4 linked regions of the Chlamydomonas reinhardtii genome follow. The protein of the gene in region 2 binds, or shares a complex with, the protein of the main gene of each other region. Links are inferred from orthologs where the notes say so. Each region holds a gene or a part of one and is shown on either strand. Other genes may lie near its edges.

What was found.
Region 1: CHLRE_04g217550v5 (region 2) and CHLRE_16g676314v5 share a complex: the UniProt entries of both Arabidopsis thaliana proteins name them as parts of the eukaryotic translation initiation factor 3 (eIF-3) complex. The link is inferred for Chlamydomonas reinhardtii from reciprocal best matches to the Arabidopsis thaliana genes EIF3C and TIF3H1.
Region 3: CHLRE_04g217550v5 (region 2) and CHLRE_12g515650v5 share a complex: the UniProt entries of both Arabidopsis thaliana proteins name them as parts of the eukaryotic translation initiation factor 3 (eIF-3) complex. The link is inferred for Chlamydomonas reinhardtii from reciprocal best matches to the Arabidopsis thaliana genes EIF3C and EIF3K.
Region 4: CHLRE_04g217550v5 (region 2) and CHLRE_12g498100v5 share a complex: the UniProt entries of both Arabidopsis thaliana proteins name them as parts of the eukaryotic translation initiation factor 3 (eIF-3) complex. The link is inferred for Chlamydomonas reinhardtii from reciprocal best matches to the Arabidopsis thaliana genes EIF3C and EIF3E.

The regions. Positions count from the first base shown.
Region 1 is NC_057019.1:3,507,011-3,512,140, forward strand, and holds CHLRE_16g676314v5 (uncharacterized protein), read left to right. Parts: upstream 1-1,804; 5' UTR 1,805-1,900; coding exon 1,901-2,080; intron 2,081-2,242; coding exon 2,243-2,352; intron 2,353-2,785; coding exon 2,786-3,488; 3' UTR 3,489-4,107; downstream 4,108-5,130. Other genes in the region: CHLRE_16g675958v5 (uncharacterized protein), read right to left, coding at 1-113, 361-657, 1,085-1,310, 1,386-1,426. UniProt on the Arabidopsis thaliana protein: Component of the eukaryotic translation initiation factor 3 (eIF-3) complex, which is involved in protein synthesis of a specialized repertoire of mRNAs and, together with other initiation factors, stimulates binding of mRNA and methionyl-tRNAi to the 40S ribosome.
Region 2 is NC_057007.1:243,265-248,406, forward strand, and holds the start of CHLRE_04g217550v5 (uncharacterized protein), read left to right. Parts: upstream 1-1,886; 5' UTR 1,887-2,083; coding exon 2,084-2,086; intron 2,087-2,152; coding exon 2,153-2,337; intron 2,338-2,419; coding exon 2,420-2,528; intron 2,529-2,697; coding exon 2,698-2,970; intron 2,971-3,126; coding exon 3,127-3,228; intron 3,229-3,406; coding exon 3,407-3,510; intron 3,511-4,848; coding exon 4,849-4,936; intron 4,937-5,142. Other genes in the region: CHLRE_04g217500v5 (uncharacterized protein), read left to right, coding at 1-360, 553-851. UniProt on the Arabidopsis thaliana protein: Component of the eukaryotic translation initiation factor 3 (eIF-3) complex, which is involved in protein synthesis of a specialized repertoire of mRNAs and, together with other initiation factors, stimulates binding of mRNA and methionyl-tRNAi to the 40S ribosome.
Region 3 is NC_057015.1:3,874,560-3,879,486, reverse strand, and holds CHLRE_12g515650v5 (uncharacterized protein), read left to right. Parts: upstream 1-1,444; 5' UTR 1,445-1,472; coding exon 1,473-1,550; intron 1,551-1,662; coding exon 1,663-1,839; intron 1,840-2,033; coding exon 2,034-2,142; intron 2,143-2,304; coding exon 2,305-2,429; intron 2,430-2,709; coding exon 2,710-2,786; intron 2,787-3,189; coding exon 3,190-3,283; 3' UTR 3,284-3,939; downstream 3,940-4,927. Other genes in the region: CHLRE_12g515700v5 (uncharacterized protein), read right to left, coding at 1-253, 438-1,083; CHLRE_12g515600v5 (uncharacterized protein), read right to left, coding at 3,968-4,051, 4,124-4,270, 4,373-4,927. UniProt on the Arabidopsis thaliana protein: Component of the eukaryotic translation initiation factor 3 (eIF-3) complex, which is involved in protein synthesis of a specialized repertoire of mRNAs and, together with other initiation factors, stimulates binding of mRNA and methionyl-tRNAi to the 40S ribosome.
Region 4 is NC_057015.1:3,278,112-3,283,225, reverse strand, and holds CHLRE_12g498100v5 (uncharacterized protein), read right to left. Parts: upstream 3,208-5,114; 5' UTR 3,131-3,207; coding exon 2,975-3,130; intron 2,816-2,974; coding exon 1,685-2,815; 3' UTR 106-1,684; downstream 1-105. Other genes in the region: CHLRE_12g498150v5 (uncharacterized protein), read left to right, coding at 3,509-3,552, 3,846-3,974, 4,240-4,407, 4,615-5,114. UniProt on the Arabidopsis thaliana protein: Component of the eukaryotic translation initiation factor 3 (eIF-3) complex, which is involved in protein synthesis of a specialized repertoire of mRNAs and, together with other initiation factors, stimulates binding of mRNA and methionyl-tRNAi to the 40S ribosome.

The sequences.
Region 1 (5,130 bases), on a different chromosome or scaffold from region 2:
TCGCGCGTGTACTTCATGAAATCGTTCTTCAGCACGCGGAGCAGGATGGTGGCAAGAAAGCCGGTCAGCAGCAGCACCGTCACGCACGAGTTGATGATGGAGAACCAGTGGATCTGTAAGGACGGGGAGGACGCAGCGTCAGCGTCCGTTGGAGTTCAATGTTCGGCACTGAATGCTTGTACCGCCAGCACTGAAACTCGCTCAGCAAACTCTGTCCATCCAGTTCATGTGGCTCCCCAACATCAGCTACTGCGTTTTGCTTGTGCGGCATGCAGATGCATTGAGTGCACTCCGCCCGCTGAACGGAGTCCCCAATGCAGCGCATGCCCAACACATACTCCGCCCCACGCTTGAACTAACCTCAAGATGCTGAGGCAGGAACGAGTAGCGGGCGTAGCGGTCCATGCGGTGGTCAAAGGTGACTGACGACTGCTTCCATTTGACCGAATAGGAGAACTGCACGTCCAGCGTGTCTGCGGTCGTGATGTCCACTGTGCGCATGGGGTCGCTGGACACGTTGATCTCGATGATACGGTCGTCGTTGTAGGACAGGTCGAAGTGGAAGTGGGTAAAGAGGAAGTACTTGTGCGTACCCTGCTGCACAATCTTCTCCACCTTGCCGATGAAGCCCCACACAGGCAGGTCGTCGTAAAACATCTGGGGTCAGAGCCGCGGGGTCAGAGATAAGTACCTAAGCGACGCTCAACAGGAGCACGCACAGGAGCACGCACAGGAGCACGCAAAGAGAACCTAAAGGCAACTTCTTGGGGTAGACGGGGCATATGACGGGTCAAGCCGCTGTTGTGCTTTGGCGCGCACCAGGAACTATCCTCTTCTGGTATGTGCGACAGGTTGCGGGGCAGGTGTGCAGGGTGGCAAGGCCCAACATGCACACGGTAACCCAACATGCGGGCAAACTGCGAATGAGGGCAAACACGCAATAGAGGTGTTGACCGGCGCATGGGGTGTCAGCGACGAGTACAGGCCGGGAGTTGCTGGCAGCGTGCACCGGGCCGGGACGGACACGTCCTGGGGTACACGCGCCCGCACACCCGCTGGTCCCAGTCGTGTCAACCCGCCGCACCTGGAAGTAGTAGTCCTGCTTCACGGCATCCCTGAACTTCTTTAAGTCACCAGCAGTGAGCGTGCGTTTGCAGAGCACCGCGTTCTCAACATCGGTGCGGAACTGCAGCTTGTAGGGAGTTGTCACCAACCGGTCGCCCTCAAGCACCTCGCCTAGGAATTCCGTCTTATACTCCTTGCCGTCAGTGGGCTGGCAGAACGGCAAGTTGTAATACTGGTACGTTTCCCTGCAAGGCAAGGAGCGAAAATCGCGCCGCGTTGGCGCGCGAGCTGGCACCGCTGGCTGCAGCAAAACTACTCACGTCGGGTTTTGAAAGGGTCCGACTTTGTTTGCATACAGCATGATGTCACTTCCGGGCTTGAATTTATGGTCGCTGCCCAGCAAGACTCGCTCCGATGCTACGAGGGCTACAGCGCTTCCGAGCAGCGCTGCCATCAGCAAGCTCGCGCGCAAGCGCGCCATACTGCCAAGTATACTTTGAGGCCTAGCCGCCCTCGTCAACGCGCAAGCTTTTGGCGACTGTTGCGACGATCCTAGTTCGAAACACAGGTGATGCTACTCGTTGTTGTTCAGCATAAGCACGAAGGTACAAGCGCGAAAAGTACAGCAGCAAACTGACATTTCAGGTCTGAGAGAAATTGCATTGCAAATGGAAGTGCGATCGGGCCCCGCATTGCAGCCAAACACACCCTGATCACTGTAGACATCGTGTAGTCGTATCGTTTACTCTTGTGTTTAGCTTTTGAAAAACAGGCTTTGCTTATAGGCACGGCGCCGCCGACTTAGGCCGCTGGTTTATTGCAGAGGCGCTGAAAAATGGAGGCCATCGCTCCTAAGCCGCATAAGGAGCTCGTGAAGACGGTGCAGCTTGAGGGTCAGGTGCTGCTGAAGATTATCCAGCATTGCACTGAGGCGCTGCCCCAGAACGTTACCGGCCAGCTGCTGGGCCTGGATGTTGGTCAACAGCTGGAGGTGACGGACTGCTTCGCGTTCCCGGTGAGCGCTGAGGATAGCAGGCGCTGAGGGCGCCAAGCGGACTTTTGGGCGGCCCCCAGATTGCTCGCGTTGTCGAGCACGCATAGCAGGGGAAAGTCGCGTGTATCAGCATATGCATATGCACAATAAAGATCGGCGATGGTGTGGGCCGGGTGTGTGCAGGCTACCGTGGCGGACGATGACTCCGAGGCAGAGTCGGCCGGCGCCAACTACCAGCTGGAGATGATGCGCTGCCTGCGTGAGGTGAACGTGGACAACAACACCGTCGGCTGGTGGGTGCAGTCAATGCGCGAGCTCGCGGGGGAAAGGAGAGGGAAGGAGTCAGGTGCAAAAGCAGAGGAGGGGGAGTTGACGTGGGGAAGCGCCCTTGGGAAGCGCCCCAAGGCGGGACGGTACCGTAGCACTCATGCTAGCCGCCGGGACATCAGCGGACAAGGGCATGTGCGCACTACATGAGCGGCACGCTAGCTGCGGCAACCACCGTGTATGAACCGCCTGTCAGAGTCCTTGCCTGCGGACACGAGGCCCGTTCGGCCGTTGGCGGGGCTCGAGACTGGCCTGGGGGCGACATGGCCATCAGCCACCCGCGACAGTACCGCAAGCAGAACCTCGGGGTAGCAGCCGCCGAGCATCTTCAGGGCTGGACCCGACTGCGCACCATGCGCTTGCCTACGAACCGTGCACCTGCCGGGCCGCACCCCACAGGTACCAGTCGGCCAACATGGGCACCTTCCAAACCGTGGAGCTCATAGAGACGTTCATCAACTACCACGAGAACATCAAAAAGTGCGTGTGCATCATCTATGACCCCCAGCGCTCATCGCGCGGCAGCATCGCGCTCAAGGCGATCCGCCTCAAGGAGTCGTTCATTGAGCTGAGCAAGGAGCAGAAGCTGACGCTCAAGGGCTTTCGCGAGGCCAACCTGTCGTGGCGTGATATCTTCGTGGAGCTGCCCATCCGCATCCGCAACAGCAACCTGGTGCAGGCGCTGGTGGCGGACCTGATGCCCGCCCCCACCGCGACCCAGGCGGACGTGGAGCGACTCAACCTGTCCTCGGCCCCCTTCCTGGAGCGCAACATCCAGTCGTTGCTGGAGTGCGTGGACGACATTGTGGCGGAGCAGCAGAAGGTGACCATGTACCACAAGAACGTGGCGCGCCAGCAGCAGGCGTACGCGGTGTGGCTGGCCAAGCGGCGGCAGGAGAACCAGCAGCGGCAGGCTGACAACCAGGAGCCGCTGCCGGAGGAGGACCCAAATCTGTTCAAGCCCATTCCCGAGCCATCCATGCTGGATAACTACCTGGTGACCAACCAGATCGCCACCTACTGCGACCAGGTCAACGTGGCGGCGGGCGAGACCATTCAAAAGCTGTTCCTGATGGAGGGCATGCAGAAGGCGGGGTTGTAAGCTCGAGGACCTGCGAGCGGAAGAGCAGGCGCTTGCTGGGGCTGCGGGCTCGGCTGTACAGACCCATGACCACGGGATGCAGACACGGGATGCAGGAGGATGGCACCGCTTATGATGGGTGCTGTCGCAGAGGCTGTGCTTGCAGGGGCCAAACATGAAGCGCGTAGTGTGTGCTGTGGGACTGTAGTGGTTTGAAGGCGGAAGGCGCTGTCTGGTGCAACTGCTCTACCGAGCACACCTACCAGTGGCATTAGTTATTAGGTGCTCAGTTTGAGGGACAAAGGGCGGGATGGGATTGGGTGGGGCGTTTGTGGTATGGCCGCGTTGAAGCACACACAGCTTGCGCTGTTTTGAGCGCGCCAGCTAGCGGCGCATAGGCAGACATGACGAGTGCAGAGTGTTGTTGCTCTAAGAGGGTGGACGTAACCAGTACACGATCAGACATTGTAGGAGGACTGCAGGAGTGCAAGTTGTGAGGTGTCGCTGTGTGCAACCCGCGGCAAGGTCCGTGACGGTTGACTCTCCTCGCGAGGGCGAACATGGGCGCACGTACAAGTAAGACAGCCCACATTCCCTACGCGGCAGGCTCTGCCTTGTCGGTATGTAAGCGTAACGGCATCTTCGCGCGTTCTCGTGCTCAGATATGTTAAGTGTGGTGCCCTCCGTTCATGACTGCGATGCGTGGGGTGGGTATGGGAGGTCGGTGTGCGTGGCTTAATACGGGAACATGGGACTGCGCCTCCCAGTGGCACCCCTGACGGCTCCTTCGCCAGCCTGCGCAGCCCCACAGTGCAACTGTCATTGCAGGCAAAGCCGCCGGCTTTGAGCAATGCGCCGACGCCATTTCTGCTTGTATTGGATTTGTAGGTATTAGCCTGAACTAAACCAAGGGGGGAGGGGTGAGAATCGCGCAGGCACACCCCACACTTCAAACGGCCTTTAAATCAGGGGGGGGGTAGAAAGCTCAATTTCTTACCCCATGCTCAAAATTACAGAGCTTAAGGAGAGCATTATGCACGTGCTTTTAGTTTTTCAAGGGGGCGTCTGGTGAGGAAGTTCTGGGCCGCCAAAGTTGGGGGGTCGGTCCTCGTCCCTGGGGGTCCGTCGGGTTTCGGGAGCCCATCCTGGCGGATTTCGGGAAGCGCCCCACAAGCAGAACTAGGGGCCAAACGCAGCAGTGCGAGGCTCATATGTGTACGTTATGACGTAGTAAGCACAAACCAAGCGTGGGAGGGCTAAGTTGCGCGTCCGGACGTGGACATGTCGGGACATGTCTCCACATTCAACACATGCGCACTGACACAGCTGGGCTCTGAAGCGCTGATGCGCATGAGTTCACGTCTAACAAGGCTGCCGATGCACATTGTCCAACCGTCACGAGGCAAAGAGTTGAGCGCGGGGTGGTCTGGGTCGAGGGGATTTCCATGGATAGGATCCCGCCCGTGACCGAAGTCTCAAGAACAGGACCGCTGATGGCACGGAGTGGTAGTGCTCGTCAAGAGGAGTCGATTGACACTACTTTGGTATTAAATGGAGGGGTTTTAACCCCTGAACAACAAGGTTTTGTCCGTCGGGGGGTCGGTCGTCCCCTCAAGGGGGGTCCCGGGGGATTTCGGGGCATGGGGTCTGGCACTTTGTTTCC
Region 2 (5,142 bases):
ACCCCGACGCCGCTGCTCCGGCCCCTGCCCCGGCTGCTGCTGTCGGGGGGATGCTGCTAGGCGACCCATTGGCCACTGCCATAGCGCTGGGCCTGGGCGGGTTCGGGACGGGGCCGGAGCTGGTCGCGCCGCGGCTGGGCGGGCCGGAGGATACCGGGTTTGAGTTCGGGACGGGGCCGGAGCTGGGCGCACCAGAGGCCGCCGGGGTCGGGTGCGATGGGCCAGGGCAGGGGGCGGTGCGGAGCCGCGGGGGTGCTGGGGTTGATGCCGGCGACGAGGCGGCGGCGGCGGCGGCGGGTCCCACGGCGTCGGCTGTGGTGCTGGAGTGGCGGCCGGCGCGGTGCAGCGTTGTTCTGCAAGGTGCGCCTGACAGTTATCAGCTTGATGGACCGGGCGAAAAGAGCACAATGGAGGGCAACACGCGCATGCCTGCTGCGGGTTGTGGCTCAAAGACCTGAACGGTTGTGTGCCCAACTGCGAATCCACGTCAGTAGTTACTGTCTGTCCGGCTCAACGCGCTCCTGCCCTGGTCACACACCCACACTCCCACAGGCGAGCGGCGGGGCATGAGCCTGCTGCGGCCGGTGGCGGTGGCGGGGCCGGTGGCGGTGGCGGGGCCGGTGGCGGTGGCGGTGGCGGTGGCGGGGCCGGTGGCGGTGGCGGTGGCGGTGGCGGAGGCGGCGGCAGCGGCCGCATCAACGGCGGCGGCTAGCGTGGGCGGCGGTCGGAGAGGGGAAGCAGCCGGGGCAGTGAGGAGGGAGGGGGAGGAAGGGGCGCTGGTGGCGGTGGCGAGCCGTCTGGATGTGGGGGCGGTGACACGGTTGGTGTTGGCGGCGGCGGGCGTGGAGTGACGACGCAGGAGGCTGGGATTGGAGGGCACGGTACCCATGGCAGCGTTTGTGTGGTGGCTTCTGGACGGAGGGGAAGGGGGCTGTGCTCATGAGGCATGAGGACAAAGCAACAAGAGAACACGTGGCAAAGGCAGGAGCTGAGGAGCCTCAGGGGGCGGGGCAGCTGACGGCGGGTCGGCTGGGCAGTCCAGAGAGGTGCTGTCAGTGGTGTGTGGGCGCTGTGTGCTTTCCGTGATTGCGGCACGCCGGAAGCCGGCAACATGAGTACATGCGTATTGCGTAATGCGGTACGAAGTACCAAATCCAGGCATGTCACTGCCCCGAGAGACCTGTCGTCATCGCCGCCGCCGCTGCCACGCCCGCTGCCCTGCACTGCTCGTGCCTCTTCCTTCTTGACAGAGAGCCACGCACCGTGTGCAGGGGGGGGGGCGCCCTTTTAGCCTCGTGGCCTCGTGGTTGTATGGGGCGACGCTTGGAGCCCTCGGCGTTCGGGGTCCCTGGGCCGGGGATTGTAGGGACCCCCACATCGGGTCACCAGCAGTGGCGGGTGGGCGGACACAGCAGGCCTTCCTCGCTGTTCCTCGCAGCCTCGCTGTTCCTCCTGCAGGCGGCGCTGTTGCGACGGGAGGAAATGACGAAGGTGGTGCAAGCATAAGTAGCACGGCCGGGGCATAGGAATGCTGGCGGCAGCGCTCGCAGAACAACGAGTCGCGCCGCAGTGGGCCACAGCGCAGCAGATGATGAAGTCAGACCTGGGGCCAACGCACGCGGCGAAGGCAGCGGCGAAGGCAGCCGAACGCGCAGCCGAACGCCCAGCCGGGCTGGCGGGCTGCGAGGTGCAGCGGAGAGCGAAGATAACAGCAGCTGCAGTGGAGTGTCGTCCTCGCGCTGCTTACTGTGCTGAGGGTGGCAGGGGTGTGGTGGGGGCGATGGAGGTTGCCACCGGGCAGGCGCAGGGGAGGCGTGCCACCGTGCCAGGACGACCTTGGTGCATTTAACACGCACATAATTGAATTAACTAGCAGTGGTTTCTGTGCAGTCTGTAGCAGCCCAGGGCTCAGGGAGCAGACAGACCATCATTCCGCGCGCGCTGCATCGCAGCCCCTCCACCAGAAGCCGCTTCCCCTGAACCGGCACCCGTCCTTTCCTACTTGTTAGGATACATTTGCGGCAAAGTCCGCACTTGCATTTATCACAACAGTCTCTTTTCGCGCCGCCGACTAGATCGAAAAATGGTAGGACGTTTCGCTCTTCCCCTCGGCGCTGCCTTTTGCTGATCTGGAGTTTCTTTTTCTCTGCAGTCTAAGTTCTGGGGCCGCGGCGAGAGCGAGGATGAGGAGGAGGAGACCACTGAGGAGGAGAGCAGCGAGGAGGAGGGCAAGAGCTCCTCCTCCGGCGACAGCTCCTCGTCGGACTCTGACAGCGACTCGGACTCTGACTCCGACTCGGACTCGGACTCCGACTCCGACGACGACGGGCCCAACAAGTGAGCACATCGCAGCCGCCGAGGTGCCCTGCGCGTGCATCGCCCAGCGCTCACCGTTTTTGTGTTTATGCTATGATTTCAGGTTCTTGGCTGGGTCCAGCGACTCGGATTCGGACAATGATCGCCGCGTGGTGAAGAGCGAGAAGGACAAGCGCATGGGCGAGCTCGCGCAAACCGCTGAGGACATCCGGGTGAGGCCTGGAGCTTCGACTGGAAATGTGCAGAGCGATGGGGTGGCCACGGGGCGCCGGGGAACGATCGACGGTGTGGCGGGAGAGATGCGGCAAGGCTTTTTTGCGCGAAAACCGGCGTTCTGAGCGTCTATCACGCTGCGGCTGCATTCCTATTGTGTATTTACAGAACAAGATGAAGATCAACGACTGGAGCGCTATCCAGGAGCTGTTCGACACGCTGAACGCGCGCCTTGACAAGACGCGCAAGTTCCTGTCTGGGCCGATGCTGCCGCGCGTGTACCTGAAGCTGCTGGTTGACCTGGAGGATTACCTGAATGATACTCTGGCGAACAAGGAGCTGGTGAAGAAGAAGATGTCGTCCACGAACGCGAAGGCGCTGAACACCATGAAGCAGCGCCTGAAGAAGCACAACACGCCCCTGCTGGAGCAGCTCAACAAGGTCGGCCGGGGGTCAGCAATGGAAAGATAGGGGGGAAGCGCACGCAGAGCGGCAGCGGGCTGCGGGGGTCCGGGCCACCGTGTGCGGGAGGAGGATGCGTGCCTCAGACTCTGCAACACCCCATTAAATGCTGCGAAACGCCTGCGCATGCCACAGGTCCGCGAGAACCCCGACGAGGAGGACGAGGTGTCGGAGGCGGACAGCAGCAGCAGCGAGAGCGGCAGCGACGACGAGCGCGACGCCGAGGAGCGCAAGCAGGTGCGCTTGCATTTGTGTTTCGTGTACCGTGTGTCTGCCTGGACATGTGCTGCCAACTGCTACTCTGTTCGTCACTGCCATCGTCTGACTAACCATATGCCTGGAACCCTTCCCCCCGCTACTGCTAACCCCCACGCGCTCCCCCTCCATACGCAACCCTGGCCTTCCATAACAATAGGGCGCCCTGGCCGCCAAGGCCAAGGACAAGCTGCTGACCATGGACCCCAAGGAGATCACCTACGAGATGGTGGCGCGCAAGATGAGGGAGATCGTCATGGCCAGGTAGAGGAGGCGGACGGGGGAGGGCGGGCTGGGCGGAGGAGGGGGAGGGCGTAGGCGGGACGGGGAACGGCGGCACGTACGGGCTGGCAGAGACGTGGAGCTCCGAGATTGGTGGCAACGCTGGGATCCCATCAGCTGACGGCGAAGGAGCGCGGAGAGCTACCCGCTTGCACAGCAGCAGCGGCAGCGGGAGCTGCGTCAGCGGCAGCGGCAGCAGCAACGGCAGCAATGGCGCCAGCAGCAGCAGCAGCAACAGCAGCGACGGTATTGCCGCATTGTGTGACTGCAAGCTGAGGGCGGGCTCTACTGCGACGCGGCTCGCGGAGGGGGCTTTGGCCAGGGGTTATGGCTGGGGGTTACGGAGGCGCCCGATTGCCACCGTGGCTGTGTGCTGCGGCTGTGGCGGCGCCGCTGCCAGGCAGCGGCGGGCGGCGCCGCGCTGGCGGCAGGAGGGACTTGGGGGGCGGGAGAGCACCGGGCGCACCAGCGGCGGCAGTGGCGCGGCTGGCACGGCGGCGTATGGCTTGGCGTGGGCTGGCGCGCTGGCATGCCCGCCTGCGCGGCAAGGTGCGCTACGGTGCAGCAGCAGCTGTTGCTGCTACGGCCTGGCCCTCCGCCACAGCGGCTGCGGCGGCGCCTCCACCTACAGTGCCGGGAGGAAGGGAGGGAGGTGCTGGACTGCAAGCCGCCGCCTGCAGCGCCGCCGCCTCCGCAGCCGCCGCCACAGCAGCAGCAGACAGGCAGGGGCACTGCATGGCGGCGCTGGAGTAGCAGTGGACGCACTGGACAAGGAGCCAGGCGCAGCTGCAGGGGGGCGGGGCAGGCCCGGCCGCTCCCGCCGCACAGTCCGTCGGTCCAGCGGGAAGAGGGGGGCGGGCATTTATGGAGGAGGCGGGCGGCTCCCCTGGCGCGCGGCTCGGCACGCGGCGGCGTCGCGGCGGCGTCGCGGCGGCGTCGCGGCAGCGGCGACTGCCGGCTGCAGCGTTGCTGGCAGTGCTGGCAGTGACAGAGGGGGGCGGCGGCAGCTGTTGCGGACACGTTCCCTGCAGCAGCAGTAACATCAGCAGCAGGGATAGCAGTAGCAGTTGCAGCAGTCGAAGCGCGGTCGGCGGCTGGCAGCGTCGCTGGCGCGTGTGCCGTGGCTTTCTCGCGGCGGTCTGGGCGGCGCGGCGCTGGTTCCGGCTGTGCTGACGTACCGGCCTGTTCACAGCGGGCACCCGTGGCACTCATCACGCACTCGTCACACATCCCCGCCACATCCCCCCACTTCCTTAACTAATCATGAATGTAACCCCACACACACACCAACGCACGCACCTTGTTCCTACCCCACCTCAGGGGCCGCCGCGGCACCGACAAGCAGGAGGCGGTGGAGATGCTGACCTACCTGGCCACCGTGGCGCGCGGCGCGGCGCAGAAGTTCGAGGTGAGGGTGGTGAAAGCGAATGGGAGGAGTGGAGGGAGGAGGGCATGTGGTTGCCGTTTGTTTGTTATGTGGTTTTAATGGGGCCCAGTTGCAAGGCGTGGCGCTTTGAGGGGTGGCAGGGGGGTGGGTTGGAAAGCAGGGCGCCGCCTTGCATAAACGACTCCTGCCACTGCCACCATCCGCTCCCTCCCCCCTATTATGCTACT
Region 3 (4,927 bases), on a different chromosome or scaffold from region 2:
AGCCCCTGGTACTGGGCCAGCAGCAGCGGCTCCGCATACCGGTCCAGCTTGGGCCGCCCCTCAAACTCCGCCAGCTCCAGCACGTTGCGCAGCGGCGTGCCAGGCGCGGAAGCGCGTCGGGAGGAGGAGGTGGAAGCGGAGGAGGAGCCCTCGGGCGCGGGCTCGTGTGTGTAGGCGGGCGGCCGCAGCCCCAGCACCACCAGCAGCGCCTCAGCCTGGCGCGGTAGCACGAGGCACTCCTCGTACGGCAGGCCTGGGCGCGGGGCAGTCCGGCAGCGGGTGGGCGTTGGGGAGAGATGAGAGTGAGGAGGACGGACGGCGCGCAGGGCGCAGGAAAGGGTGACAAGGGTGCAGGAACGGGCTTCGCAGTAGTGGAGAGTAGAACGCTGCTGGCAGCACCTGATGGCGAGCAAGCGCAAGGGCGCAGACCCACTCACTCCGTATGGTAATGCTCTCCTCCTCTCCATCCTCCTGGGATGATGATTTCACGGCAGCTTTGCGTCTGGATACGCGCTTCTTGGGCGCCTGCAGTTCCCCATCAGGAGCCGCCGCCGCTTCCGGGCCCCCCTCTGCAACTGTCTCGGCTGCTACCTTAGTGCGACGCGTGCGCGTAACTTTTGGCTTTGCTGCAGCTGCGCTATCACCTCCAACCTCTGCTACTCCGGATGCTGAAGCAGCGGCCTCTTCGCCCGGCTCGGCAGCCTGCGCCTTGCGGCACGAGGCACGCTTCTTGGGCACAGCCGCTGCCGCCTCGGCGTCGTCCTCACTCGGCCCAGACGAGGGGTCCAGCCCTGCCTCAGTCGCGCTGTCAGTGGCAGCGGTCTTGCGGCTAGCCCGCTTCTTTGCCACTGGTACATCATCGCTGCTGCCGCTGGGCACGGCGGCGGCCGCGGAGGTTGCCCGGCGAGTGCGTTTGGGCTTGGGCGGCTCGCCGCTGGCACCGTCTACCGCTGGCAGGGCGCTGTCGCTATCAGCGGCAGACGAGGCAGCGGGGAAGCTGCGGAATCTGGGGATAGGTGCTATTGCAGACCACCTGTTGAAGGTCTGCAGCAGCGGCAGCGCCTGCCGCAACCGGAGGAGCATTGTGGAAGGTGACAGGACGCGAAGGGCGGGGCTGGCGCACGACGCTCCTCTTGATCGCTCGAGCGCCCGGCCCCTGCAGAGCCGCTCAAGGCGCGACAGTCTCTCCTAAAGCACGCGATAATTGTGGGGTTCGCGGCGTGTTCGGAGCAGGGAGAGAGCTTGGCGAGCTGTCGAGACGCGCGCTATGCAAGAAATCAGTTTCCCAGTGCGTGTATACAGCTTTACGTTCGTAGCTCATGCAGTATCGTTGCACTTCACAGACTAGAGAGTGGATTCTACCGCTTCGGAGCCCCATCATCGGCCATCGCAGCGTCGCATCCCAGGGTGAGCATCCACTTGTCTTGGTTTTCTTTTACGTTGACACTTCCTTTCTTTACATACCAGTTAAAATGTCTCTTATCGTGACTGGTGCTGATCGTTACTCGCCGGACAAGCTGCCACAGCTTGAGGCGTATGTTGATGAGCAGGTAGATCTGTATTTCTTAGCAGCCCGTTTAGTCCCCTGGCCCCTTGGTGCCAGCACGGCGACACATGCTCGGCGGCGGCAATTTGCGCTGAAAGCGTCCTGCACTGCTGCAGGTCGCGAACCGCTCATGGAGCCTGGATGCTAATGTTACGCTGCTGCGCTTCTACCAGTTCAGCCCGGCCAGCGTGAAGCCTGCCATTGTCGCTAAGGTGCTTATCAAGGCGATCATGCAGGCGCCCGCGCAGGACTACAAATGCTGCATCACGCTGCTTCCAGAGCGCCTGCTGCAGGTGTGCGAAGTGCAGTGGAATGGCGTTTAAAGCGTCAGGGCCTGGGGGAGGGGGTGGGTGGGGTGGGTTAGGGGCCGCACCGTGGGGTGCCGCCCAAGACACGCGGGGAATGCTGTGGCACCTTCATGGCTGTTTCCACACCTCTCCTGTTCCACTATTGCTCCATCCGTTGCACGAACCCTGCATTGCTGCAGTCTGACGAGTCGGTGTACAAGGTGGTGCAGCTCGCAAACGCGCTGGAGACCAGCCGCTTCGGCGACTTCTGGAACGCGGCCAACACCTGCCGCGACCTGCTGGGCGGCAGTAAGTGCAGCGCACGGGGACCTGGCTGGAGTGGGAGCCACTCAGCTAGGACGCAGGGGTTTTTAAAGGCAACGGATGCGGAATCAGAGGCAACAGAGGCGCCCCGATTGCCACACGTCACGAATGCCAATTAAACCAGCTCTATCTGCTGCTCTGCTGCAGTCCCCGGCTTCTACGAGTCGGTGCGCGGCTTCATCGCGCACACGCTGGTGCACACCTACGGCCGCGTGACCAAGCGCACGCTGGCGGACTGCCTAAAGCTGGAGGGCGCCACGCTGGAGCAGTACGTGAGTGATGCATTGCGCTTACGAGTTTCTTATGGGGGGGCGTGGTGGCGGCAGTGTCTCCGTGTGCGTTTACATGTGAATGGTGCGCAGTAAGCAGGGCTGGGTTGGGTAGAAAGGCGTTGAGGAGCGTCGCTTGAGGACGTGAGCGAAAGGGTTAAGCTGTGTGCATACGGCGGGGTGGGAGATTGTGACGCCGGCTTGAAGGTCCCTTCGCCAGTGCGCCTCATCAGCTAGCATCAGGGTAAAAACGCGCCTGCTGGCTGCTTGCTTCTGACCACAGCTGTCTGAAAAGTGCAAGTCGGCTGGCTGGAGCATTGTCAACACGCCCGCTGGCGAGGTGGTGGGGCTCCCCAAGAAGTGAGTACAGGCGCAGAATTCTGGACTGGCCTGCGGAGGGGGCGGGGTCTGCTGGCATTGCTAGGATGAGGGGCCGGGAAGCGGGGCACGCGGGCACACCGTGGGCGCACGCAGAGCTGAAACAGCTGATCGAACATGGTAACATGTTTGGTGCCTCCTGTGCCACATGGCATGATAGCGCCGCGACATCCCATGTCCACCTGCCCACCTCCAATCCTGCCGCACCTGTACTCTGGAAATGCACACCCCGCAAACAACCTCTCCTCCTCCATCAACACTCACCTACATATCGTGCTTATCTAGTATCAGATTGTCCTAAAAACTGGGGTTGTACCCCAAGTGCTACAAGCTCACGCCATTCATGGCCCTCCTGCCCTGTATTACGCCCGCGTTCTGCCCGCAGCGACGACAACCAGTCGGTCGTGAAGCGCACCCAGGAGCTCATCCGCTTCGACCAGGTGGCGCCCATGCTCAAGGCCGTGACCGTGGGCTTTTAAATCAACGCTACTACTGAAATTACTTGACGACACGACCATGACAGCATGACACACAACCATTACTGTCAGACTCTTCTAGGCATTAGATAGAAGACCGTTGGATCCCGGTATGCCCATCGGGTTGTAGACTTGAGTGCGTGAAGGGCATTCGTTGAGAAGCCGTGCCCCGCCTTGGGGCGGTCCGCACACGCATGCGAAGGCATCGCAGAAGGCGTTACTGTACTGACTTTGTTCGGCGGTATGGCACCCCATTACAAAGGAGGCTAGCTGGAATAGTACACGGCGCTTATGTAGCCAGCTGCTGGTGGCGTGTAGCGAGCTTAACGGGAGCCATCGCCTTGGCCAAGCCACGACAGCAGCCCCTTGACGGTGCTGCCTAGGTTCTCCGCAGCGGCGACGCTTGCACTGCGCGAGCCACCGCCGCTGCCCCCCGCGCCAGGGCCGCTGGCACCGCCAGACTCGCTGCCGCCTGTAGGAGCCGAGCCGCCGGTGCCGGGGCGCGGCGCGCCTGCGGACGGGATGTTGCTGCCGCTGCTTCGCTGCGGGCTGTTGTGCGCCGGCTGCCCAGTGACGCTGCGCCACAGGCGCTGCAGCTGGTCCAGCGGGCCGGGCGGCGGCCGCTTGGCGATGGATGCAGCGCGCTCGGCAATGTCGGCCTGTGTGAAGAGATGGGGTTAGAGGCGCTTAGCTTGGAGGCACCCACAGGAGTGCCAAGAGTGCGCAGTATGCATGCGCGTGTATTGTGTAACGTAGAATTTGTTTCGCGTCCTTTGCGCCGTTTGCTTGCTTGGCCCAGATATCGGTACTCTCTGATGCAGACACCTTCCGTACCCTGCCCACCTGCGATTGCGACATGTCCTGGTACGCGGTCGCGTGCGCCGCCGCGCTGGCCGCCCGCTCCTCCGCCTCCTTAGCCGCCTCGGACGCCTGGGCCACGCGCGCTTCCGCAGCCACAATAGCGCTCTCCGCCGCGCTCTCCAGGCCAGCCTGAAGTCACGGCACAAGGGAAAGCAAACGTCAGCTACCCGCCCAAAGCGCAAGTGCCCACATCAGCGTTCATACGCTCGTCAAACCACAGCCATTGCACACCTGCGCCGCCGTGGCTGCTGCCGCCGCCCGCTCTGCCGCCTCTGCCGCGCGCGACGCGGCGCTGCTGGCCGCCGCTGCGTAGGCTGCTGCGCGCTGCGACGCCTCACTGGCTGCCGCTGCGCCGCGCAGCGCCAGCTGCGCCCGCTCCTTCATGGCGCCCAGAGACGTGTCGTCGGGCGACAGGTGCGACAGGGCCGACGTGTCCGGCGCCCGGCTGAGGGGCTCGGGTCGCACGGGAGGAAACGACAACCGCGGCGGCTGGCCCGGCGCGGCGTGGCCGTGCGGTGGCGCTTGCGCGGAGGCGCCTAGCCCGGCACGCGGGAGCGGCAGCGGCCTGCTAGTGATGGCGCCGTCCTGGCCGCGGGCGTCCGGGCTGTCGAAGAAGCTGCTGCGTGCGAAATCTTGCTGGTGCGGTGCTGTGGCGCTAGGCTCTGTGCCTGCAGTAGACAGCGCTGGCTGCGCAGCCCGCTCGAACGGCGATGAGGGCGGCGTGTGGTGTGTTGCCGCCCCTGCACCGACTGCTGCCGCACCCGCCGCCGTTGCCCCAATCCCTGA
Region 4 (5,114 bases), on a different chromosome or scaffold from region 2:
GCGGCGACACAGTCTCAGACCGCACCGGCAAGTAATGCCCACCACCGCCGGCACCGCGCATAACCGCATATGAATGCAGGAGCAGACCGACACAGACAATGCCAGTCCTCATGTAACAACGTGTCGCAGCACAAACGGGCGCTGGCCCCAGCCCCGGCGGCAACGAACCAAAACCGGGCGCAGCACCTGCCTTGCATCACATGCCTCACTCCACTGCACTAGTGCATCTAGCCTGCTACAGTTTTGCAGAGGCTACTCTTGCCTCTATGGTGATGCCATCATACGCACATAATCCAGTTCTACCCGCTAGATACCCCATTCGTCTCATCCATGTCTACCCGCTAACACCCGAATTGCAAGAAAGCGAAAATGCCTGCCTGCGCTTGCGAAATTCTGTCCCGACCCCTATTCCCCCGAATGGTCCTCTTAGGTCTAGCCCGAATCCTACGTAGTTTCAGTCTCGTTGGCACAGCGTTCACACCTACATCCACAGCCCGTGTGCGGACTGCCGCACTGCCACACTGCCTGCATACACGAGAACCTATCTGCTCCTCACTACGCCAACGCCGATTGCCCCCACGCCGGTCCACGCTCAGGCTTATCCAAAGCATGTGCCCGTCCAGGTACACTCTGCAGCCACCAGCAGCGGGCAATGCCGACCCTAGCCCCAGGAAATCCATTGCCTGCAGCGCACCAGCCCGACGGGAACGCGAATGCACCGCCTCCCTAGCACGAGACAGCCCATCCAATGAGCTCACCCGAACAAGCGTTGCCGAGTCCGTGCCAGCCGCGGCTGCACAGCCCCCCGGCACGCGCTGCTGCTGGCGCGCGCGAACACACTGCCAAGGGGGCGACCCCCCCGTCTCACGTCGCTGAACAAGCATGCCCTTGCGCCCCGCCCATGGGATAATCGTGCAGCTGCTGCAAATTCCAGCCGCCGCGCTCCTACCGCCCTTCACTGTATTGCAAAGCCGCTGTCGCCCGTCTACGTCACTGCTCATCTCATCAGCACCTTCGAACGCCGCTCGCCAGCGCTGTCCCACACCCGCTGCCGCGCCCTCCGCCCAGCGCTCCTGGTCTGATCCGTGCAGCAGCCGTCGCCAGCGCTCCCACGCTTGCTGCTGTAGAAAGCTGCCCATCCCGCAACGGAATCCCGTAACTCAAAGCTCGCTGCTGTCGTGAATCGCCTGCCGAAGCGGCAGACCGCGCCCTGCACACCGCTGTCGTCCACAAGCAAGCCCGCAATCTACAAGGCAAAAGGGAATGATGGATGGCGATCAGAGCTTGAGGTAAAGTGATTCCTCGTCACGTCAACCTTTCGAACCTCTTCGCAGTTCCCAGGGCTTCTTCCGTATCAACCGGCGAATTGTTGCACGTCCGTTACCAGGCCGCGGGTCCCCTTCCTTGCCATGCCGCGTGCGGAGCACCGCTGGAACTGGGCCTAGCAGCCGTCTGCCCAATGCAATTGCTACCCCATCTACCAATCCCTTAGGAATCCAGCACTCTTCACCTCCAGAGCTTGCCTTTCTATTCCACCCCATTCCCGCCAATACCAAGCCCCAGACGACCCCCTGGCCCACATGCATCCCCGCGCCCCCGCCAACCCCATCCCGCCCGCCGCCATGGCTCCAACTCCCACCTGCTTGCTGCTCCTCCTCCCCCGGCTGCTGCTCGCCGCGGTGCCTTACGGCTTGACGCTGCCCACCACGGTGTTGGCCAGCACGTAGGTGCGCACGGACAGCATCTTGGCCTTGTCCACCAGCTGCTCGTGCACGGACTGCGACTGCGTGCCCATCACCACCGTCCCCGACTTGGAGTCAATCTTGGCGTTCAGCTTGGCGTTGAGGATGAGGTTGGCAATCCACTTCTCCGCCGCCTCCTGGTCCATGCCCAGCCGCTCCGCCAGCAGCGCAATGGAGATGGACTGGTGTATCCGGCAGTACGTCTCGAAGATGAACAGGCGCGCGTTCTCAATGAACTCGTCCTTGTAGGCCGCCAGGAAGAAATCGTTGTCCAGCACCGCCTCGCACTCCTTCAGCTTCTGCTGGGCGCCGTCGAAGTCGTAGTGCACGAACACGCACTCCAGGAACTGGGTCACTGGGTCCGAGTACTCGTACGACTCCTGCTGGATGGCGCGGATGAGCTCCTTCAGCACGCTGCGCTGCTTCTTCTTGTTGATGACCACAGCCACCGCCACGTAGCGCAGCAGGTGCGGCGCGTTGATCTGGATGGCGGAGATGTAGGCTGGGGAGAGGAACAGGTCAATGATGTCGTTGCGGCCGTTCTCATGGTTCCAGAAGACGTACAGGGACCAGTGCAGCAGCCAGGTGCGCTGCTGCAGCTGCACCAGCGGGGGGGCGAACGTCTGGTTGTCGATGACCTCCTTCAGCTTGAACACGTCCTCCCGTGCCTCCTGGATGTTCACCGCCTCGTGCATGAGGATCTCCGCAGCGAGCTTGCCCCACAGTGCGCTGATGTTGCGCTCGCTGTTGGTGCAGAGCGTGCGGTAAGACTGCAGCAGCTCCGCCGCCAGCGAGTAGTTACCGCAGTTGAACTGGAAGCGCGCGTACTGATACAGCGCCTCGACGTGCTCCGCGCCAATCTGGAACTCCTCCTGGAGGAACTGCAGGTTGAAGCTCTTATCCTGACGGAACTTCTCCACCACATGCCTGTTCTGCAGACACTTGATAATGGGGTCCACGTCCGCCTGCAGCTGGCGAAGACGCGCCACCACCTGGCTGCGGCGGTCCTTCATCTCCGCAGGCACCTCGTCCACGCCGTTTAGGCCCTTGTAGATATCCATCGCAAAATCCACCTACAACATCGAATTTTTCGCTCAGCGACCCGGACTCAAACTGGAAAGGCCGATGGCCTCTGCACTCGCTGAGCTGCCCTTCCCGCTTCCGGCATCCCCAGCCTGTCCAATAGCTCATTCCAAGTGCCAGGTCTCCAGATCTAAACACTAAGCGCGTACCATGTTCGTCTTGTCCAGCAGCGCCAGCTTGGCGCGCAGGATGTCGTCCTCATTGTAAAGGCCGCGCTCTTGGAGGTATTCCATAATAGGCAGCGTAAGGTGCAGGTCCAGATACTGGACCAGCTTGGAAGAAAGCTCATAGTTGGTGGCAGCCATCTTTCTCTCGGCGGCGGCTACGCCCCTTGCCTAGTCCTAAGGCCTGACCAGTCCGCTGTGAAACAATTATGGGGTGGGGGCTGCGGGAATGACAAAGGAACGGGCGATCTACGCCCCGGTGCGCAGCCCGCTCTCGCGCTGTGCCGGATGGGGGTCCGAGTGCCCATCGGCCTGGCCCGCTCAAAACGGGCTTTCGGACTCCGAACTAATACATAAGAGGTTAGGTGTATGTATAGATAGGGCATCGGCACATTTCCCTTTCTCTGTAGGGAAATGACGTGATCTCTATCGCCACACTCTTGCGTTTCTCTGCGCTTGCCTACGCGACTCTGGTGAGGGTTGCGGGAGCCCAGAAACAGCGCAGCCAATCACGAGACAATGGCGGCTCCGTCGGCGGTGGTCCTGCCGCCCTCCCCCAACTGGTAGGCGGAGTCGGGAGTCGGGAGCCAGCGTCCGTGCTTTGCCCACGCCGTTCGCTGCTCCTGTACTCTTGATGCGTTTTGCAAGTGGTGCAAGGGCTAGAGTGTCAGGCCTGTTCAAGCCAGTGCGCCCACGGGCCGCAAACCCGCATTCCGGAAGCAGGGGCCGGGGTCACAGCCGCACGCACTGTCAACCGCCGATTGCGCCGCGCTATGCCACATAGCTCGTAGCCCCTACATGTCAGACCACATCACACCCATTGGTAAGGTCACTGATGCGCCTCACATGCCCACAGGTTCAGCAGCCAGGTGGTGGCGGTGCTGCCGAGCCAGCAGCTGGTGGCGTATGGCGGCCACTACGCGGTGGTGGTGGCCTGCGCGCAGAGCCGCACCGTGCAGCGCATGCTGCCCACGGGCGGGAGCAGGTGCGCACAGCCTTGGGTTGCAAGGTAGTGGGTGGGCAGCGGGTGGGTCGGGATGATTGCGGGCAGCACATGCAATTTGCTGCCTGCGCTCGGCCTGCGTGTTGCTGAAGCCGCGACGCGGCCTTCGCACACATCTGGTGGCGCATGTCCTCACGTGCCAGCAACGTCCTGGCCCTGGCATAGCGAACAGCCACTGTAGTGGAACCCCAACATGCCGCTCAGGACTTGCTCGCAAGCGTGTCCCTGCCGCGGGCCTGTCGTGCAGAGTGACATGTGTGGCGTTGCCGCCTGAGAGCGTCGGTGGTCGCCCGCTGGTGGCGGCGGGCTGCGAAGATGGTTCGCTGAGGTGCTGGGACATGGTCAGCGGGGAGCCGGTGCGCACCCACCGCAAGGGCAAGGCGCCCGAGGTCACAGCGCTGGTGGCTTTGCCCAGGTGGGGCTCATGTCGGTTCGGACACTCGCAGGGTTACGGGGGCTTGCGGTACGGTAACCTTGATGGCCAAGGACTGGTATAGGGGGGCAGTCTGCACTCTGGAGTTTCCGAGGTGGTATGCTCAAGCGTTGGTAGGTATCGCGTGAATGTCCTGTGGTCACCCGGCCCCAACACGGCTCCATTGCCCACACCCTTCCAATGCCGTAGCTCGCCGGTGCTGCAGTTTGTGGCGGGCGATGCCTCCGGCGGCCTGGTGCTGTGGGTGCCCGAGACCGGCGTCCGCAAGCCGCTTACGCGCGCGGGCTCCACGGCGCCACTTCTGCCCAGCCGCGTCCAGTGCCTGGTCGCCGTCAACGTCACCGGCCCCGCCGCCGGGGCCAGCGGCCGCGTGATTGCAGGGCTGGCCGATGGCAGCATCGTGTTGGTGGACGTGGCGTCGGCGTCGGTGCTGCTGACGCTGCCGGCGGCCCACCGCGGTGGTGTGCACAGCCTGCAGCTGGCCGGCCTACCGCTCGTCACCACCGCCGGTGGCGGCGGCAGCAGCAGCGCACCGGCGCCGGGGGCGGTAGAGGAAGCACGAGCGGCACCCACGCCTGGCAGCGCGGCCGGGGAGGACGCGGCCGGTGAGCCGGCAGCGGCTCCAGCTGCTGTTGCTGCTGCGCCCGACCTGTGGATTCTCAGTAGCGGAGAGGACTGCCAGGCCAAGG